Arabidopsis thaliana: one gene and its partner. The protein of the gene in region 2 binds, or shares a complex with, the protein of the main gene of each other region. Each region holds a gene or a part of one and is shown on either strand. Other genes may lie near its edges. The genes, in order: PRPL28 and AT5G65220.

Evidence for each region.
Region 1: AT5G65220 (region 2) and PRPL28 share a complex: the UniProt entries of both Arabidopsis thaliana proteins name them as parts of the 50S ribosomal subunit.

The regions. Positions count from the first base shown.
Region 1 is NC_003071.7:14,171,879-14,175,290, reverse strand, and holds PRPL28 (Ribosomal L28 family), read right to left. Parts: upstream 1,713-3,412; 5' UTR 1,672-1,712; coding exon 1,473-1,671; intron 1,148-1,472; exon of another isoform or gene 1,144-1,147; coding exon 911-1,143; 3' UTR 702-910; downstream 1-701. Other genes in the region: RIC1 (ROP-interactive CRIB motif-containing protein 1), read left to right, coding at 84-162, 265-701; AT2G33435 (RNA-binding (RRM/RBD/RNP motifs) family protein), read right to left, coding at 2,065-2,659, 2,753-2,832, 2,926-3,015, 3,135-3,245.
Region 2 is NC_003076.8:26,059,166-26,063,380, reverse strand, and holds AT5G65220 (Ribosomal L29 family protein), read right to left. Parts: upstream 2,217-4,215; 5' UTR 2,081-2,216; coding exon 1,742-2,080; intron 1,058-1,741; coding exon 875-1,057; 3' UTR 699-874; downstream 1-698. Other genes in the region: AT5G65225 (uncharacterized protein), read right to left, coding at 447-451; TGA1 (bZIP transcription factor family protein), read right to left, coding at 2,632-2,784, 2,859-3,086, 3,175-3,446, 3,529-3,592, 3,681-3,758, 3,843-3,902, 3,987-4,067, 4,180-4,215.

The DNA of each region.
Region 1 (3,412 bases), on a different chromosome or scaffold from region 2:
TCATACGTACATTTATACGTATTTTCATACATGTCACACGTATCTGTGCTCATTATTGTTTTTTTATGGGACAAAAACTGCAGATGAATGACTTTAAAACTCAAGAACATGAGAAAGGTCAAGTCGTTTCCAGGGGAAATTCCAACAAATACAACCCGCAAGGTTAGTTATTTTTGCAAAGTGTGTTTTTCCTTTTCCCTTAAAGTGTTAAGCTTTGAGGAACAAATCTGGATTGGTTCGAGGAATTGATGTGTATCTCAATAGGGACGAACCAACGTGGAGCCGGGCTAAAAGAGTTACTGCCTTCGAACACAAACGAGAAACCGAAACAGAAAACAAGGCGGAAACCCGGAGGAGCAGCTTCTCCAAATCATAACGGGTCTCCGCCTAGAAAAAGTAGCGGAAATGCTGCATCATCAGATGAACCATCAAAGCATTCAAGACATAACCGAAGCGCACACGGGTCAACAGACTCATCGAATGATCAAGAACCATCAGTTCGCAGAAGGCGTGGTGGTATCCCGGCTCCAGACACAGAAGTTCCTAATCAAATACCTGATGGTTCAGCTCCTCCACGGAAGGCTACATCGCGTCCTAGGAAACTAAAAGGATCATCAGCAGGAGGAGAAGGTTCGATTAAGAAGTCTTCAAAAGGAAAACCCGAGAATTCAGTTGATACAACCTGTAACGATATTATCTGAGAAACATAAACAAAACCATGAAATGTATTATTTGAGCCACCTGCAAGTGAGAGTTTGTTTTCGTTTCTCTTTAAAGTCTTTTCTTGACAGTGTCTGATACAACAACTCAGAGATTCCATTGATACTTACCAAAATCTAGAAAGGAAATGTACGAGTACTGCAAAAGGAGAAGCAAGAAATGTATATAATAAACTTTGCGATCATCATATCTATTTCTTGCGAAGATCAATGCCGGCTTTCTTGGCAACAGCGTCGAGTCCGTTCTTCTCAATGGTCTTCAAAGCCTTAGTTGATAAACGAAGTTTGACAAAACGTTTGCCAGCTTCCCACCAAACTCTCTTGTATTGTAAGTTGACGAATTGCAACTTCTTGGTCTTGTGGTTAGAGAATGAAACTTTGTTTGCTCTGTTTGCTTTCTTCCCAGTAAAAGGGCAGATTCTACCTGACATTTTGGAAAACAAAAACACAGTTTCAAGAAAAAAGGAGCAAATTGCCCAATGCTCAGAATCATATAAATGTGGTCAATTTTGGAGAATTTTTTTAACATAACATCAAATTCAAAGGAAAAGTTTAATACGAGAAATTATGCTACGGGTTTTAAATACACTGCTCATTTTCATATCTAAAAGCAAAGACATAGTTCCAGACAATTCAACACAAGCTTGCTAACTCAGAGATTCGAAATTCGACATGAATAAAACGAAAGCAAGATAAATTTAGTACGCCAATGCATTCGACTAAACCCTAAGAGAAAGGGAAAAGGGGAATTACGTGCGACGATTGGCTGAATCCCGGGGAACGAAGGAAGGGAGATACGGTTGATGACGTCACTGGGAGTATATGAGATTCTTAAGCCGCTGAGCTGGGAGGTGAGGAATCCAAGCTCCTTTGAAGTCACGGTTGACTTGGTCATGGACTTGGCTGATGAGGTCATTCGTAGCCAAGCGCCTTGTGTCGCCATTGTCGTCATTTTTGGTTGCTGTTACTTCTGCTTCGAAGGAGGATTTGGATAAAGAAGGAGATTGGGTTCATTTTATTTATTATTTTGTAGAAAATGAAAGACGCTTTCTCATTCAGAAGGTTACGTTCTCTTTTAACACAACAATTTTTCAGTAAGCAAACCGGTCCATATAGCCACCAACACAATAGTATGGTTTCATCTTTCCCTTCTTGGATTCTCTAATACATAAAAGTAACGAGACACAGGTGGTGATGAATAATCCAACCTGATCAATCCCAACGATTACAAAGAGATTTTTGAAGGGTTTTTGATTGTAGATGCTATGTATCTCTGAACTCGGTTTGAACCGGTTATGTGGTAAAGATGAGAAGAATCACAGAGTCTCACTTGTTGTGGGATTATTTACCCACTTGGGAACCGGATTTGGTAAAGCTCTTTAGAAACATATTCTGCTTTCACAATCCGGTTATCATATAGCCTTCCGTGTAAAGAATGGGCTGCATCACATGTCGCTTCTGGTCTTCTGTACTCAATGAAGATACAACCCGTCTCAAATACATCCTCGGGGTCTTCTTCTTGTTCTTCTTCTATCTTGTCGCCAGCATCCCATCTTGTCTTCACGGTACGCACTGATGCTACTTCTTGTGGATTCTCTGCCTCGGCCTGCGCACTTTCTTCAACAATCTTTTCACAATGCTCTTGTTCAGTGGAGTGTAGATCTTCATTTTCTTGAGTGCTTGTTTCAGCAGCAGTATCCGAGCACGGTTCACATAACTTGTCTTCACCTGTCAAACTGTCTGGCATGACAACCTCTGCAAGATCTACATTGTCTGCAATATCTTCCGCTTTCTCGGATCCTTCATCTTTCTCCTCGATCACTGACACATTCATTTCTTTAGAATCAGTTGATTCTAAGTTCAACAATGGATTTGTTTCAGAAACAGTGATATCTTTGCTCTTGTGTTCCAAGATGTTTATCGACTTAATAACCCCAAACCTGCATCATGACAAGACCCAGAGGCCTATTTTCTTAATTTACTAGCTTTTAAAAGCTCAATGGACTCATGGGAAGATGATCTCAGAGCTTAACCTGGCACATTCTAACCGTACATCCTCCAAAATTTCTTTCACTTCTTGCTCGGAAAACGACGTGAGATCTTCTGGGTCAACCTGTCAAACAAGAAAGAATGGAATGTTAATATAGCCTCACATAGTTTATTTGGGAAAGATTCACAAGAAAAAGGATACACCAATTATGCTTACCACATTTTTTAGCTTTAGAATATTCTTAGGCTTGCCAAGAAGTGGTTTTGCATGGCTAGGTATCCCATAGAATGGTGGATTCTCATTCACCTGCAACACATATTACGTACACACACCACTCTCACAAGTAACTAAAGGAATTTCTGTTCAATGTCACCCATACAAACACAACATGAACTAACGAAAGCAAAGTTGGGTCACTGAATTACCGCTACGGATGATGCATCAGGAAATGCACAAACGGCTGTTATTACACTGCCACCTAACCTCATACCATTTAGACCAGCACAAGCTTTGAGGGTAACAGATCCATCAGTGTACTGAAATATAGAGATTTAAAAAGAGTTAGGGCTGGTTAATATGAATATACTTGGAACTACAGTCACATTCATGGTTACTCTGTAAAAGTTACAAGGTAATAACACCTTCCCATGCTACCCGGAAAATGAAAAATTAAAGATATGAAACAATCACAAGAACTACATCG
Region 2 (4,215 bases):
GCAAACTACTAGTAAACGAAACATGACTTCTTATTGAACTATGTTTATATCAGTCGTATTCAAACTTTTAAGAAAAGAAAAAACAAAGAGAAGAAACTACTAATTTGAGATTATTTTATCACTAGTCCCCACTTCTGAAAGAAGATTTCAACACCACTGAGTCAGAAAAATTATTGGCCAGATCTTCAATATACTAATAAGAAAAGGACAAAAATAGTAAAACAAAAACCAAACCCATTGTTGGTTGACTAACAAAAAAAACTAACAATGAAGTCTCAATGAGATTTACCAAGATGAGATTTTTCTACTACATTCGATTGCATAAACGGATTTTATTTTGAAAGTGAATCGCTGAAATCTAGGGTTTCATGCCCAAACAAGAAACATCATCGGAAACATAATCGTATTAGTTGAATCCTTAAAATCTGTAAGAAATATCACTTTACCTCATAGACTCGCCGGAAAAAAAATCCAAACCCAGCCGGAATCTACCACCGAATACCTCATCTACGCACACAAAGACAGAAACTTTAACGCACCATTCTATTTCTAAGCCCACCATTGATTCCTCAATAAATTCCTAATTTTCCCGCCAATGTTTTGGATTTTTCCTTTTATTTATTTATCTTTATTCTTATTTGATGTTTTTCGAACTTCGAATGATTACTAGTTTCTTTGTCAGATTGGATGATAATTCTGATGAAACATGAAGGAACGATTTCAATCTTTAAGGGATTCATGTAAACTACTTGATAAGGAAAGTGTTTACACCAAAAGAAAAACAAATACAAGATGGTTCAGCAACAAATAACAGAGATTAACAACATCTCGAGGAAACAACAAGGAAGAGACCATAAATCAATAGCGGGTTTTTTCAAGCAGATTTAGCAGCTTCAGCTGCTTCTTCTGCAGCTTCTTCTTCTTGAAGTTTCTTCAGAGACGGAGGTGGTCTTGGTACTATGCTTTTCTTCCATTGTCTGTCAAGTTTCCTCGACAACCTTTTCTTTATCCCTTCTTTGATCTCCCTCTCTCTTTTAACCGTCAACATCCGAGCAACCTAAATCACCCACAACCAAAAGATCACATCTTCAGTACCAGAAAAGAGACGGACGTAAGCCAAAAAAACCAAGAAATCTCTACTTGAATTTAGTGTCATCTCCAGCTAAGTTGGGTGGATTAGTCACTTAGAGCTCAAGATTCATGTCTGATTGAAATCCCAGCAATCAGTAAAACCAAAGCAAGTAAATTCTCATCTAAAGCTAGTTTGGTGCATTGGCACACTTAAAAGACTAAACAAACGATATCGCAAAGCTCAACATTCATGTCTAACTGAAACCGTAGTATCCTAAGAACATATTCGAAGCTTGTGTGCAAGAATCTATAAAAGGGGATGGATTGAACTCAATATTAAATCTCTAATTCCATTCCACCACCTACCAAAAACAGTATTAGATATCACAAAACAGTAACTTACAATGTTGCCATTGTTAGAGTTTAGAATCAACTATAATGTGTAGAACAAACAACACAAAACATTGCTTATAGAGTTCGCTAACATCTTCTACAACTTCATATTAAATAATCCTATTTTCCATGGTGATGATTTCAATGTTTCCATCAATAAACCACATATCCCAATTTTGTTAAACCCTTTCAAAGACTGCCAAAATCGACCAGATAACACAAAGTAGATTTCACAATTTGGAATAATTCTGCATTAAAGAGTAAGAAAAAAGCTTACTTGTTTCTTCATACGACGAAAGTCGCTAGATTTGAACTCATTCCTTGCCGATTTCTGGAGACGAAGCATAAAGAGCTCACCTTTAAGGTCAACAACCTCCTCTTGTAACTGCTCCGTCGTCTTCGATCTTATCTCTTTCAATTCCGCCTCTCTTTTCGACATCATCACCACCGACGGTTTAGGAGACGACGACGATATCGTCGCCGCCGCGGGGACGCGAGCAGAAACCTGGTGCTGGATTCTGACACCATGGAATGAAGACGAAGTTGAAGTCGCCGAAGCAGTTCCTCTACGAAAAATCGCCGCCGTCCCCGGCGTAGCGATTGAGAGACTAAGCATTGTAGCTATGGCGGAGGAAGAAGAAGAAGAGCAGAGTTCTCACTCTCGAGCGATTTTGAGGATAATGAAGAGAAGAAACTCTATGAGATAAGGCTTTTCTTATATCTTACTATTTGCCCCTTTATTTACCTCTAATTACGAAACTGGTCCAAACGTATCAAAAAAAATCAAATAGGTGTCACACAAAACGTAAAATTAAGTAAAGCCCCTATAGTTTTCAAATTGCAGATAGCTCGACATTATTACAGGGGATTTGGAACCAAGTTTATATAATTCTGAAATTGTTTACAAATCAAACAAACATTCGAAAAACTTGCCTCTTTCAAAAGCTAAAAAGTACAAATTTTTGCACCCCCACCTTTTTCTGATATTTACAACTTATCAATACATGATGTTTTTCAAATTTTCTAATTCCGCCGCAGAGTAAAAATAAATATCAGCAGCAACCCCTCTATTTATTCAGAGTAGTCCTCTGTTTTCAGATGCACTCATTCTTCATTTTTTGAGGTCTTTCCATTTTCTTCATTTGGTTGTTACAAAATAACTCAAACCTACGTTGGTTCACGATGTCGAGTTGCCCAACTTGAGCTCAAGGCTCTAAGCCGTTGAAAATACTCACCAAGAGCTAATAATCCTCGAGCCGCTTGTCGCGTTGTCAATATCCGATACATTTGTTGCAATGTTTCATGTCTCAAGTGATCAGCCTAAGAATGAACAAACAAAATCAAGAAACTGATACTATAGTATTTTCAAATGAGTTTGAATATATATATTTTACCTGATTTACGAAACTGACCAAAGCTTCTAATCTATCCATAGCAGAATTCACCTGAGGAATGTAACTTCCTTCACCGAGTTGTCCCGCTGCAACGCAGTCCGCAAGGGTGTGTTGCAGCTTCTCCATACCTTGAGTCAACGCGTCTTCTGCTTGCTGACACGATTGTTTTAGATTGCATACATCTAGAAGTTGTTGATCCGTCAAGACATCAAAATGTGGCAAAAGAACCTACAAAAAAAAACATTTGAAACATTGTAATCTTGCTTGTTTCCTTCTATTCATTAAACATTACGCTAGATTGTTATTTGTTTTATACCTTGAGAAGATCGGAGGGTCGAAATCCGCCAATCCATAAGAAGAATCGTTCTGCTGAAGTTCTCCACATCCCTGACATGACGAAGAAGACATCGGCTTTGGCAGCAGACGATTTCATCCGGAAAAGCTCAAAGTAATGTTTCATGGCGTTTTCGACTAGCGAACGAAGCTCGATATCGTTAATGTGTCCGTGTAAAACTGTTCTTAGTTCACATATCTGTCTGTTCTGTTCTTCAACCCAATGTCCATATTCCATTTCAAATGCAGCAATCCCTGCAAATCAAATAAGCTTCCACCAATCAAAATCTTGAATTCTATATTTTTTCCAAAAGACTCATTGTTCTTGATTCAAAACCTGGATTCATGGTTTCCGAAAAACCGAGAGAATTAGTATCTATTCCGTTTCCTACATAGAATCCCTGAAAACATTCATATTCAATCAGAAATTGCATTATATTTTGGAACTCGAAAGAAAGCGAATATATATTTAGATTTCATTTCATTAACCTGTTGTCTAGCACGATCGAGTTCTTGCTCTAATTGAATTAGCTTCAACCTGCTTGTTTCCAGTTGCTGAACATAAGCCTGCAAAAAAAAAAAACAATCAAATCTCTCAACTCATTAGGCAAACAGAAACAGTTTACCAAGGGGAAGAAAATGAAGTCATACCTTCTTGCGCAAGCGACTTTTCCTAGCAGCCTCGCGGTTTTGAGCAAGCCGTCTTTGTATCTGTAACGATATAACGATTTAGTCTATATGATGCGTAGAAATTTATGATTAAGAAACTGATAGAGAAGTATTTGAATAGCTAACCTTATCGGGATGTCTAGACGTTGAAGCTTCTTGATCGAACATGTGAGGAGTTCCTGCTGTTCCATGGGAAGTATCCTCTGACTATAAAAAAAAAAAAAAGATTGTCAAGAAATGAAAGCTAGTTTAAATTTCTGAAAACAGACCAAACAAATTTATCATCAGGAGGTTGAAGAGCAATGAAGTAAAAAAGTACCACGTTGTTGTCTAGTTTCTGATTATTCGGTATTAT